Linked DNA regions of Caenorhabditis elegans. The protein of the gene in region 2 purifies or fractionates together with the protein of the main gene of each other region. This does not show direct contact. Each region holds a gene or a part of one and is shown on either strand. Other genes may lie near its edges. The genes, in order: C01G10.7 and cht-3.

What was found.
Region 1: the proteins of cht-3 (region 2) and C01G10.7 fractionate together in Caenorhabditis elegans (co-fractionation; one large-scale study listed by BioGRID). This does not show direct contact.

Annotation. Positions count from the first base shown.
Region 1 is NC_003283.11:15,083,952-15,087,470, reverse strand, and holds C01G10.7 (Citramalyl-CoA lyase, mitochondrial), read right to left. Parts: upstream 1,725-3,519; 5' UTR 1,721-1,724; coding exon 1,514-1,720; intron 1,468-1,513; coding exon 1,363-1,467; intron 1,307-1,362; coding exon 644-1,306; 3' UTR 553-643; downstream 1-552. Other genes in the region: C01G10.15 (FIP (Fungus-Induced Protein) Related), read left to right, coding at 175-237, 281-520; ahsa-1 (Activator of Hsp90 ATPase AHSA1-like N-terminal domain-containing protein), read left to right, coding at 2,098-2,177, 2,227-2,296, 2,345-3,091, 3,142-3,273; C01G10.9 (Methylthioribose-1-phosphate isomerase), read right to left, coding at 3,430-3,519.
Region 2 is NC_003282.8:7,001,699-7,009,907, reverse strand, and holds cht-3 (Chitinase-like protein C25A8.4), read right to left. Parts: upstream 6,286-8,209; 5' UTR 6,284-6,285; coding exon 6,176-6,283; intron 6,058-6,175; coding exon 5,780-6,057; intron 5,715-5,779; coding exon 5,504-5,714; intron 5,458-5,503; coding exon 5,363-5,457; intron 4,985-5,362; coding exon 4,717-4,984; intron 4,671-4,716; coding exon 4,314-4,670; intron 4,264-4,313; coding exon 3,965-4,263; intron 3,919-3,964; coding exon 3,541-3,918; intron 3,254-3,540; coding exon 2,982-3,253; intron 2,903-2,981; coding exon 2,775-2,902; intron 2,733-2,774; coding exon 2,642-2,732; intron 2,316-2,641; coding exon 2,212-2,315; intron 2,167-2,211; coding exon 2,078-2,166; intron 2,028-2,077; coding exon 1,634-2,027; intron 1,150-1,633; exon of another isoform or gene 1,129-1,149; intron 809-1,128; coding exon 677-808; 3' UTR 640-676; downstream 1-639. Other genes in the region: C25A8.2 (uncharacterized protein), read right to left, coding at 15-20. UniProt on the Caenorhabditis elegans protein: Putative chitinase.

The DNA.
Region 1 (3,519 bases), on a different chromosome or scaffold from region 2:
AAAAGGAATGTGTAGTCTTTTGAGAGTTGGTAAACTGTTAGCCCTTCTCTTGAAAGAGAGAGAGATCAAAAGGGAGCCACGGAGGTGGAGCTTGATGTTGAGTAGGGTAAAAGTGTATAAAAGATTCGAGTAAAGAGGGGAAAACATAAACTTCGCTTTGATCTCTCCTAGAAAATGAGATTCCTTACACTGATCGCCACTCTTCTCGTGCTTTTCTCCACTGCCAACGCTTATTATGTAAGTTCCTATTGATTATCTGATTCCCATTTTTTTGTTTCAGCTCTACTATTACTACCCGAACAACGGTTACAACAACAATAACAATAACGGATACACGACTTATTACTACTACCCGAATAATAATAATAATAACAATAATGGTCAAACTTATTACTATTACGATAACAATGGATACAATAATGGTTGCTCCGGCTGCAGTAACAATAATGGATACACTTACTACTACCCGAGCAACAGCAATGGATACACTACTTATTACTTGACTTATGGAAAGAAGTGATTTGTCTGAATTTGAACAAATAAAGAAATTTTAAAATTACTCGTTTTTATTATATTACACTGGCAACTAGAGCTATATTTAAAAATGTACATAAAAAGTTTTACAACATTTAGAATTTAGAATTTAATTCTGAACTCTCTCCACGAGCTGAATAATATTCAATGCCTGCAGCAGAAGTGGTCGATCGATCATTTGTCCTCTAAACTGGAAAGCTCCTTTTCCTAATGCCTCGTGCTCACTGTAAGCGTGGACCAGCTCCTGAGCCCATTCGATTCGATCCTTCGGAGGCAGAAATTGCTCCTGGACCACAGACACTTGACTTGGATGAATGACTTGTTTTCCAGTGAAACCCCACTGCCACCCTTCTGCAGACTGACGACGGAGACCGTCAAGATCCTTGATATCTATGTAGACACTGTCGATTGCTTGAAGTTGGAATGCTTTACAGCAAGTCACAAATTTCTGTCGAGCGAATAGGGTTTCAGTGCCGTGAGAGCTTCGTGTAGCTCCGATATCTGCACAGAAATCGTCTGATCCAAAGACAACTGCATCTAGCTTGAAGAATCCGGCTTGTTTATGAAGATTTAGAGTTGATGAGACTATTCGTGGCATATCCAGAAGAGCTCGTGCAGATTCGATCCAGATAACAAGCCGAGTGTTCGTGTTTGTGATCCGTTCATCTCCGTAGTGTTCACGGAAGATGTTGTAGATGGTGACAAGGTCTTCAGGGCAGTCTACTTTCGGAATCATAAATGCTTGTGGCAACTTTTCAGCTTTCGATACTGCCTGAAATTAAAAAATTCGTGAGGATAAAGTTTGAAAAATTCAAAAATAAATCTTACAATGATATCATCTTCGAGAAGACCACTGCTTACAGAATTGACACGTAGACCAAGCTCCTGGCATGCCAATGTGTGATATGGCAGTTTATCAAGAGCCGCCGCAGCCTGAAAACTCAAATTGTAGACAAATTTCCAATTACTTTTCACGTACTCGAACTCTAGCATCAGCTTTAGCCGTCAGAGCAACGCCATCTTCTAGCTCCAAAACTACTGAATCCGCTTGCATCATTGGAACTTTATCCAGCATTTTTTGATTGCTGGCTGGAACGTATAGAAGTGCACGTCTTGGAACATACTTTGCTGCGTCCCGAACTCCGGCAAACTGTGAGATGTGCCTAATTATCGTTTTAGGAAGCATTTTTCTGAAATTGAAAAAATTAATTTATTTTAAAAAAATGTGTAACGTAAAATCTGAAAAAAAAAAACAAAAATAAATAACCAATTACGTGCGTAAATCCACACAAAAATTGCAATGCAAGCTCGCCCTATTGATAAGCGGTCGTGGCCTGCTGGCCTAGTTTCTTCCATTTTTCATGAATTTTCTCGAAATTAATTGAGTTTCTCCTGTTTTCAACGAAATTTCAAAGATTTCTTGTTTTGATTTCAACGTTAAATATTTATTTTCAAGTTTTAAATTGAAATTCCATTGTTTTAAGTACAAAACGACTTAATCTGGCTTGATGTTCACCTTAAAAATCTCGATAAACTGACTTAAATTAATTTCAGGGAATTTAAATGGCCAAGTGGGGAGAAGGAGATCCACGCTGGATTGTTGAAGAACGAGCCGATGCAACAAACGTAAACAATTGGCATTGGTGGGTCTCGATTGAAGTCATAGCTTTGAGCTGAATAAGTATGTTTTAGGTCGGAGAAGAATGCAACCCCGTGGTCTTTGAACCGACTCCGTGAACTTCTCACCGGATTTTCGTCCGAGGTATAATTAATAGTTGAACAAGATCGTATTAAGAGTATTCGTTTTCAGGATGGCCCAATTGTCGTGACAATCGATGAGATCAAAAAGATCGACGGAGAAGCAACGGCAAACAACCGGAAGGCTAAGCTCATCTTCCTTTTTGAATGGGTTATCGAAGGAACATTCATTGCTCGTGTTTCTGGCAGTGAAGACGAATATAAAGGAACTTTCGATATCCCAAACTTGAGTGATGAGAACGATGCATCCGAAGTGGATGTGAATTCGTCATTGAGTGGAAATGGCCCAATGGCTCATCAAATCCGCCAAGTTCTTAACAAATCGTTCATTGCAAAGATTCAAGATGTTATGGGAATCTATATCCGTGAATTGAAGGAAGAATTCAGCAAGGGTCTCATTCTGCCAACTGATAAAGTGAAGCCACAAGTCGTTACTACTGGAAAGACTTCAGTCGTTGACAAACGTCAGTTCCAAAACACTGTTGTCGCGGAAAAGGACGCTTCCACTTCTGGAAATGAAGTGTTCTCCACCAAAGAGGTTTCAACTTCCGATACCTACAAGGCCACACCGGATAGAGTTTTCGAGGCGCTCACAGAGACTCAATTCGTTCGTGGATGGACAAACAATTCGATCGGAGAGTGGAATTTCAAGGAAGGAGGATCATTTGCATTGTTCGGGGAAAACGTGACTGGAACATTCGAGAAGATTGAGCCGAACAAGGAGATTGTGAAGAAATGGCGACTGAAAAAGTATCCAAACAATCATCATGCAACCATCCATTTCCAGTTGAAAGATACTGTAAGTTTTAGAACAAACGAGGATAAACCTTCTATTATAATAAATTCTAGGGATCTGGAACGGATATCAAAATCATCGCTAAAGATGTTCCAACTCATCTCGCTGAAGAAACTCAACAAGGACTCGATCGTTACTACCTTTCAAGCATTGGTCGTACTTTCGGATTCAGCCAGCGAATGTGAAAAAATGAAAAATTGCAAATCTCCTGTTTTTGATGTTCTCCGATCTTCTAAACCGCTTTCTCAATTTATTTATTTTATATCAATCTGTGTTTGTGTTCTAAATTTAGTGATAATATTTTCATAAATTCAACAGATTCTGTTCAAAAACAAACAAAATTATTTAGGAATCTGCTGCTCGAGCATTTCAGGCGGCCAGTTTCCGAAATCCGTCAAAATTTTCGTGATGAGATGCGCCGGCGTGACATC
Region 2 (8,209 bases):
CCTCGCGAACTTACCTTCATAATGAAACCGTGTTCAATTGAGCGAAACGCTTTTTGAGCCTCGTGATTAGCTGGTGAGTTTGGGAATGAACGAATTATATTTTGATTTACTCGACGTGTGAATTTTTTTGTAATTTTTTGTATTTTGATTTACTCGACGTGTGAATTTTAAATTTTGGAAAAAAGGAGGGGGGCACGTTCACGACAATAAAATGGTTTTTTCTCACAAATTATAATTTTGTTATGGCTTCCCTCTACCATTCACTTCTAATGAAAGAAAAATCTCTTTATATTATATTTTTTGATTTTGTTAAAGCCTTTAACAAAGTTTCACACAGTCTCTTAGGAAAACTTGCCAAGTTCGGTCTTGACTAGCTTGTTTCTGGTTCAAGGAATTCCTCGATCACAGAATATTCACCGTCAAAATCAACAAATTTGTTAATTTGTCCAAGTTAAATGAACTTCCTCTAGCACCAACTAAGTCTACATTATTATCACTGGGAACTTTGAACAAAAACCATTCATATTTTGTAAATGGTGTCCCAATTCCCCCTTCCCCGCTTTTTCCCTTTTTTTTCGTAAAAAAAAATTTGGTCGTGTGGGAGAGTTGAACTCATCCATTATCGATATCAAACGAAATAAAATAATTATTTATCAAAATTGTGAAGTTTCAGAAATTAACGACACTTATGGGAACTATAAACAGATTTCAGAATTGGGAATGATCCACGCCCACAGATTCCAGTATAGTCATCTCCATTTACATTCAATGCAATACCGCCGAGCTGTTCACGTTGGATGTAACCAATCTGAAAATTTGAATACTTGAATAAAAAATCCTAGAAATTTGATAGAATTTCCAGAATTTCTAGAAAAATTATTATATGTACTGTATTTGTAGAGATTTCAGCTATAATATAATGTGGCTTTTGTTAAACTTTTAATAATACAACATGACAGAATATCATAATGGAACCTTTCAAAAGATTTTAGACTTACGATTAGCAAATTTTTCCGTCAAATTGTTGGAAAATTATCAGATTTTCAAAAACAATCACATTTTGAGAAATTTTGAAAAAAATTACTGTTTCAAAAAGTTTACAAAAAATTTTTGAAAATTTTTGATTATTGTACATCCATTATTCCAAATTTTGGAAGTTTATCTTATTAAATTTTGTCGGTAAAGGCACATTAAAAGCCGATAGGTAACCAAAAATCATCAAAATTGGTTACCTATCGGCTTCAAATGTACTGTAATAAACGAAATTAAATGATATAGACTACCAAAATATGCAATAAAGAACAATAATTCAAAAAAAGGGCAACTTCGGACCGCGATATGGAAAAGTGGGTAAAAACGAGATTTTACCTAATAGCAGTGTAACTTTTTCAAATTTTGAACTGCCACAAAAAATTTTTGATATTATTTTTTGAGAAGTTTCATTACGAAATTTGTTCTTTTGAGCCCATGTTGAGTCTATTCAAAATCGTCCGAACCGTTAGTCCCCCTTTAAACAAAACAGTAATTTATTCTACTTTCGTGAAAATGTGAAACTTTATTTTTTTAAGTGGGGTCTCGCCAGATCTCAAAATCAGTCATCACGGGAGCTATAAATGCCAAAAAAGAAACTTACTTTGTATCTAAAATCTTCAATCATTGGCATGTTGATAGTTCCATTTTCATGTTTGGTCATTCCTGTCAATGTTTCATAATCATGTTCGTAGACAGCTCTATTCCCAGCAGTTACACAATTAACTCCTTGTGTCATTTTCTTCTTCTCCCCCACTTTCTTTCCAGTCTGCCAACCAAATGGCGAGAGTTCCAAAACTAGCTTATCCGGTTTCAGTCCCACATTCTTCCAAATATTCACAAATTTCTCAGTTGACGGGAACTCAGGCTTTGTGTGATTGAAGAAGAATGGAAGATCAACGGAATGTTTATCAGTCATTCTTAATGCAATGTGAGACAGACGATTCAATAGAGATACACTGTAGTACGTTGACGGCTTTTGTGTGTAATGGGAAAATCTGAAATAATGGGATATATAGCTTTTTAAAAACCTCTATGAAAAGGTTGCCTTGCTGAAAGTGTCCTGTTACACCCATTGGAAGCCTTGCCGCTTTCAAACTTCTGTGCCAATTTTTTGACGAATGTGTTGAAGTAAATCTGAATAGATTCATAGGTAATTTATTCTTAAACCTAATAAATTACATGGTTTCCTCTGCGAATCACTTTTTCACAATCCAATTGTACTCCAGAAAATTTGTACTTTTCCATAATATTCATCACGTTGCCAATTGCAAATGTCATGTTGTCTACAATATGGAAAAATTGGTTATGGGCTTAATTTCGAAGTTAACAAAAATCAAATGCTTTTCAATAAAAATCATGTACGAGTTAACTTTTGGATTTTCAGACACCCAACCGCATCAAGATTTTTCAGATTTTGTTTCATTTTCAAAAACTTCAGAATCCTCGGCCACCTTAAAATCTCTCAAAGTCGTAATAGGTTTGCAAAAAATAAAAAAAATCGAATATTGGAAGTATGCACTGAAAAAGCTTTCAGGAATATGTTTAAGAGCTTTTCTTCCAGGTAACATGATCTTAATTTGTAATTTACAAATTGTAAAATGAAACTCACCACCAAGAATTGAATTCAAATATTTCTCAGAATCACCGCATGATAGTGAAAGCACCATTCCACATTTAACCATTTTTGACCTCAATGATGTCTAAAACTCATTATAGACTACAAGGCAGGTGCGAAAACTTACCAAATTCTTAACAACTTGTTCTTGTTGAACATCATTGAAATTCACATTTCCACCTAAAGTGAGTGTTGCCTGCTCAACGACAACTTCCGTGCAACGCTCGTATGGGACAATGTCCGTTTTGAAAACAGCTGAAAAATATTAAATTTTTCAAAAATAAAATTTTCTGTTTCAAATTTCACACATCAGAAAATCCAAAAAAAAGCTTACGAGTGCTCCTCTTCAATTCAAAATTGCAGCTAACCACGAAATCGTGTTGTTCACACTTTTTGAAGTCATGCTGTTTCAGGCAAGTCTGACAAACTTGAGCACGAGAAAGAGCATTTAAAATGGGGAATGCAGTACGGTTATCACAAACTGCACTCGGATCGTCCTGGTGCATGTTGTGAAGAGCAAGTCCTCCAACACCTTCCATTGATGCCCATACTGCTTTGATGTGAGCACTACGAGTATTCTCATATGCTACCATTTGATCGTATCGTCTGAAGTTATTGCATTTTGTGATAATTCACATTTTGGTCCTGGTAGTAACTTGAACCACTGGAAATTGACTTGCTAAATCATTTTCCGTATTTATACTTAAATATAAATTTAAAAATATTATTTTGTTAAATTGAGATAGAAATACGAAACTAATTTCCAGTTTTTCTCATGTCATTAAATTGGCTTAAACTTTTTCGCTTTGTACACTGGGGAAGTTTATTTGAAATAATTTAGAATAAAATTCTCAAAGGGCTCAGTTCACCATAAATCCCAAAATATTACTTACCTCAAATATGGTACTTCAGCTCCATCAACCCAATGAGTGACACCAGTTCCAGACTTCAGGCTTTCACAGATCTCCTGCTGACTATGAATATCTCCTTTTTTCGATCTCAACATTGACACAAAAGCTGATTGTCCAAATGGAGTTGCAGCTGAGCTTCTCACATCAGCAAGTGATTGCATGGATAAAGTGGATGCACTCAGAGACAATACAAGTTTTGAAGGGAGTACACGTTTTTCGACCCAGTGAGAGAGCAACGATTCCCAACTCATTTTTTGATTAGTCATTGATGAAGTGGCACGAAGAGGTGAAGGATGTCCTGTGAATGGAAGAGAATCCGAGTGAAGACGATGAGAGTGAAGGACAATTAGTGATGCAGTTCTAAAATTTTTGAATTAAAATAAATATTATATTAAAGTAAACCAACTTGTTCAAATGCTCATAATCATAAAAGTCCGAATAAGCGCTCTGTTGTGAAGTTGCCACAACGATCTCCACCATCTTTGCTGTGTCCGCTGCGACGATATCATTGATAAATGATTTCAAATTCTTCTTATCAAAATCGCTGACCATTGGTTGAGAAGTCCACGAAATCTCAAGCCCATCTGCGTTTGTTGAATTGATTGCTTTAACAAGACCTTCAGCAAGTTCTTTTCTATGAAAATCGTTTCCAAGGAGGAATTGCCATATTGTTGAGGCTTGTTTTGATCCGACAGAAAGAATAAGCTGAAATAGTTTTCCTTTGAAATCTGAAAACGGTTTCAAAGAGTTCTTACCCTCGGTGCCACTTCAACTATTTTGCTTCTCCAATCATCAATTTTCTTCACCAGATCTTCGGCTTTATCCTCTTCAATCATTTTGTCGGAGAGATCAAGGGCGAAGTATGGAACAACAATATGACTACAGTAGTCAGATTTCAGATTATCAATTGGGAATGTTTCCTCAACCTCCTCCGGATCCAAATAGCAGAGTCTTGTACATTTGGCTGGATTCGCAGGAATAGTATTACGAATTAGTTCCATGACAAGACGATGAGCTGGCAACGGATCTGTACCACAGTCTCCACGTGGATCATCGAAGAGGGCGTGGCTAATACCAATTCCAGCAAACTTTTGACCCAATATCCATTTCATCTGGAATTCAATAGGTTTCATGAGCTAAAGCATAAGTTGCAACGACCTTTTCTCCCATAGCCTTAATTGTTGGTAGATTAACACTCATCCACGTCTGACGGTACACGGTAATTTCATTCATAGTCTGCCAATCATAAATGACAGCTCCTCTAGCTCTACAAGCATCTTGATAAGAAACTCGTTTTCCATTATTCTCAGCATATTGTCCATGAGAGATTTTTAATGGATCTTGAGTCTCTTTGATTTCAAATTTCCATCCTCCAGCAGTCAGTCCAACTACGATACGTGAAGGGAGAATTCCTTCTTTTGACAACCTTAAATTTTTATTGTTACGACAATAGGTGTTTTATACACAAAACGAGTAAAAACCTTCGTTATTAAAAATGTTTTAGAATTTTAAACATTTTTTGAAAATTTTTTGCAGAATTTTGTAACTTTCTTTCAACATTTTGAAAGCATCGGATGGTAAAAAAAATAAATGAAAAGATAATAATAACATAAGAAACAGTAAAATTAAAAAAAAAACATTTTCCAAAATTATGAATTGCAAAAAATGAGGAAGTGGCTATGTTTGACAATAACTTAAACACAAATCAAAGTGAAAAAGTTTTACTGTGATATTTGGAATTTTTCAAAAGACAGACTTTGAAAATTCCGTATTGGATCTAATTCACCTATATATTTTGACTTACTCTTCGACAGTTCCTTGAATTGTTTCCTCAAACGGAATTGATCCATTATAGAAAAGTGGATTTATGTGTGTGACTCTGGCAAGTTCCTCGTTTGACTAAAAATAACTCCAGTCAACCATTTTTTAAACTGAAAATACTTACTGGCAATTCTCCCATATCCAAATAGATATACTCAACGAGATCATTGATTTCTTGAAGTCGTCTTAATGCATCAAATGCAAAAACTCTTCTTCCTGTGACTCCAAATGTTAACGACATCTTTTTGTCTTTTGAAATCGTTTCAAGAAAACTCGTTGAGGCTCGATACTCAAGGTGAATGCCGTTGAAAGTTACAAATAAACCATCGAATCTTCTGGAAAATAAATTTTAGTTTTGATAAAGCTGTGATGACCAATTTCCCAAAATTCTCAAACTCACTTGCTCTTCACATGAGATCGGAGCCCGTTTGCAACCTTCACCGATGTAGCCGCGTCTTCAAACGGTTTTGTTCTAACAACTCCCATCAAGAGTTTGGCATTTGGATGATATTTTCTCAATCTCATGAAAGTTCGAATATTGTCAATATCATATCCAGACTCAACATCGGATACACTGTACTGTGGATATCCAGTGTCTCGATCAATTGGAATACTTCCATACACTAAATGGGTGCACGTTGTGATGTTTTGAAGAAGATTTGGGGAGAGACGAGTTTTCTGCAATTTGGAGCCTTTTACAATTATCAAAACTATTAAACCAATATTTAGTAAAAAATATTTTTTAATTGAAACTCTGATTGACATTGCTTGTTTGATAACATTTATGGCTGCTTACCGGTGGAGGATTGACAAAACAATAATGAACAGGAGCATCTTCATCACTTATCTCACAGTATATGCCTACTACAAGTATTGACAGCCAAATGAGGGTTTTTATACCCATCTCTAAAAAGAAGAAAGATTATAAAAACACAATAAGAAGGTGAAAAACTCTGAGGAAAAATGACAGAAGCATGCTGATTCTATCTCTTTTATATACGATTTTTCGTGCCCAGATTCAACCAGAAAAAAGAGCTGACCTGCAGATAAAAAAAGCGATTCGGGAATGATAAAGTGGGCGGAAGATCCAAAAGCCTCGCATACCACATGTTATTGGTTTTTAGGTGATTGATTTGAAATTTCGTCGCTGAAACCGAGATTTGACTGGTTGTTGGCTCTCTGGGAAACAATTGCATGATGTAAGAAAATGTTTTATTTTTAAATAGAGATACGGATGCTTGTAGAAAGTTTTGTAGTTTTTTTAAATTTAAAGTTTGGTATCCATAAACTTCACGTTAAATCAGAATTAGAGAATAAATTCCAAATCAATTGACATATTTCCAACTTCTCAAGGTTTTTCGAGCCTGCAGTTGAAGAAAAACTGTCTTTGTTTTGAAATTTTAAAACATTTTAGCCTTCAAAGGTTAGAAATAATTGCTCCATTTTGGGTGCAACGGTAAATTTGATCACCTCACACCCCTGACAGGTACATTTCCACAAGATATCAAGGAATTTTACAGTTACGAAATTGTCTTTCACTTTTTTGTCAAAACCATTTCTAACTCTCCCTCGGTTTTCAATAAGATCTCAATGTTTCATAACCACCCACTTTTTCCCTTAACCTTCCGTTTTCAATTTTGATCTCCCTGGGGACCAATATTTCAGTATTCCGTATGTTGACAAACCCTTTTCCCTTCTTTTCTCCTGACAAGAAACACTTTTGTCCTCGTCCTTCTTGTAGTTGTCGCCGGCGTTTTTACTTTTTCTCGGGTGGGGATAGTGTCCCTAGACAGAAAATAATTCGTCATTTTTGCCGCCTCACAAGTTAGTTTTCTAACTGTCACACAAATCCTACAATATTTCATTTATTTGGGATATTGTTTTGAATAAGGCGACAAAGCAAAAAGATCCATTGGGAGTTTAACCTGATTTATAAAAGACAGTCGCCAAAAATTATTCGAAAGTTTTGATCTCAAGATGGGTAGATAAATTTTTGAAGTCCTACTGGGAGGCACCGCGGTGGTTTTGAAAATTTCAGAAGTTGTATCGACAAAAGCGGCACAGAGCATTTTTTAAAATAAAACTTTCCGTGATATTATCATAATTCTCGGAAATCTGAATGAGTGTTTTCATAAATATGAGCACTTTTTCGTTTCAGCAGAACTAAATTTTCATGTATTTCTCAATATCTCATATGATTTCATTTCTTTTCTTAATGTGACATGACATTACTGTCATCACCCAAACGAGTTATTTATGACGAGTTTGCAACATCTGCAGTTCTCACATAAATGAGTAAGGAATAGAGGGAAGAAACGGCTAATATGGGTTTTGAGGTTAAACATGTTGCCTTACAATCAATGATTTTTCTTCCGTTAATTTCAAGTATCAATTCACAATATGAATGTTTGTTTCAATATTGTTTTTTCTTGCACTTTTTTGCTCAACTTTGCTTTGTCAAATTTCACTTATTTTTGCCTGTTTCAACAAATCTTCAATTACGAATAAAAATACAAAGTTGTTTCGTTTTTAAAAAAGTTTTTTCGTTTCCTATTTCAACATTCTATGATACTGCTACAATTAGAAAAAACCTAGAAAAATTCCTAGTCACGAATAAGTAATGGCATAAGGGGATTTGCTCCCAAAGACTGGATTCTCTGCTGTCAGTCGGAAGTAACAAGGCTCCATGAACCAGAGCCAGCTCCGTGAGCCAACTACGTCAACCAGAGTACAGTAATAAGGCTCCATGATCCCCCAGCCAACTTTTCGAGCCAGCTCTTTTTTCAATTTTATTCGACGCAAATTCGAAAACAAGTGAGCAACTTTGTAT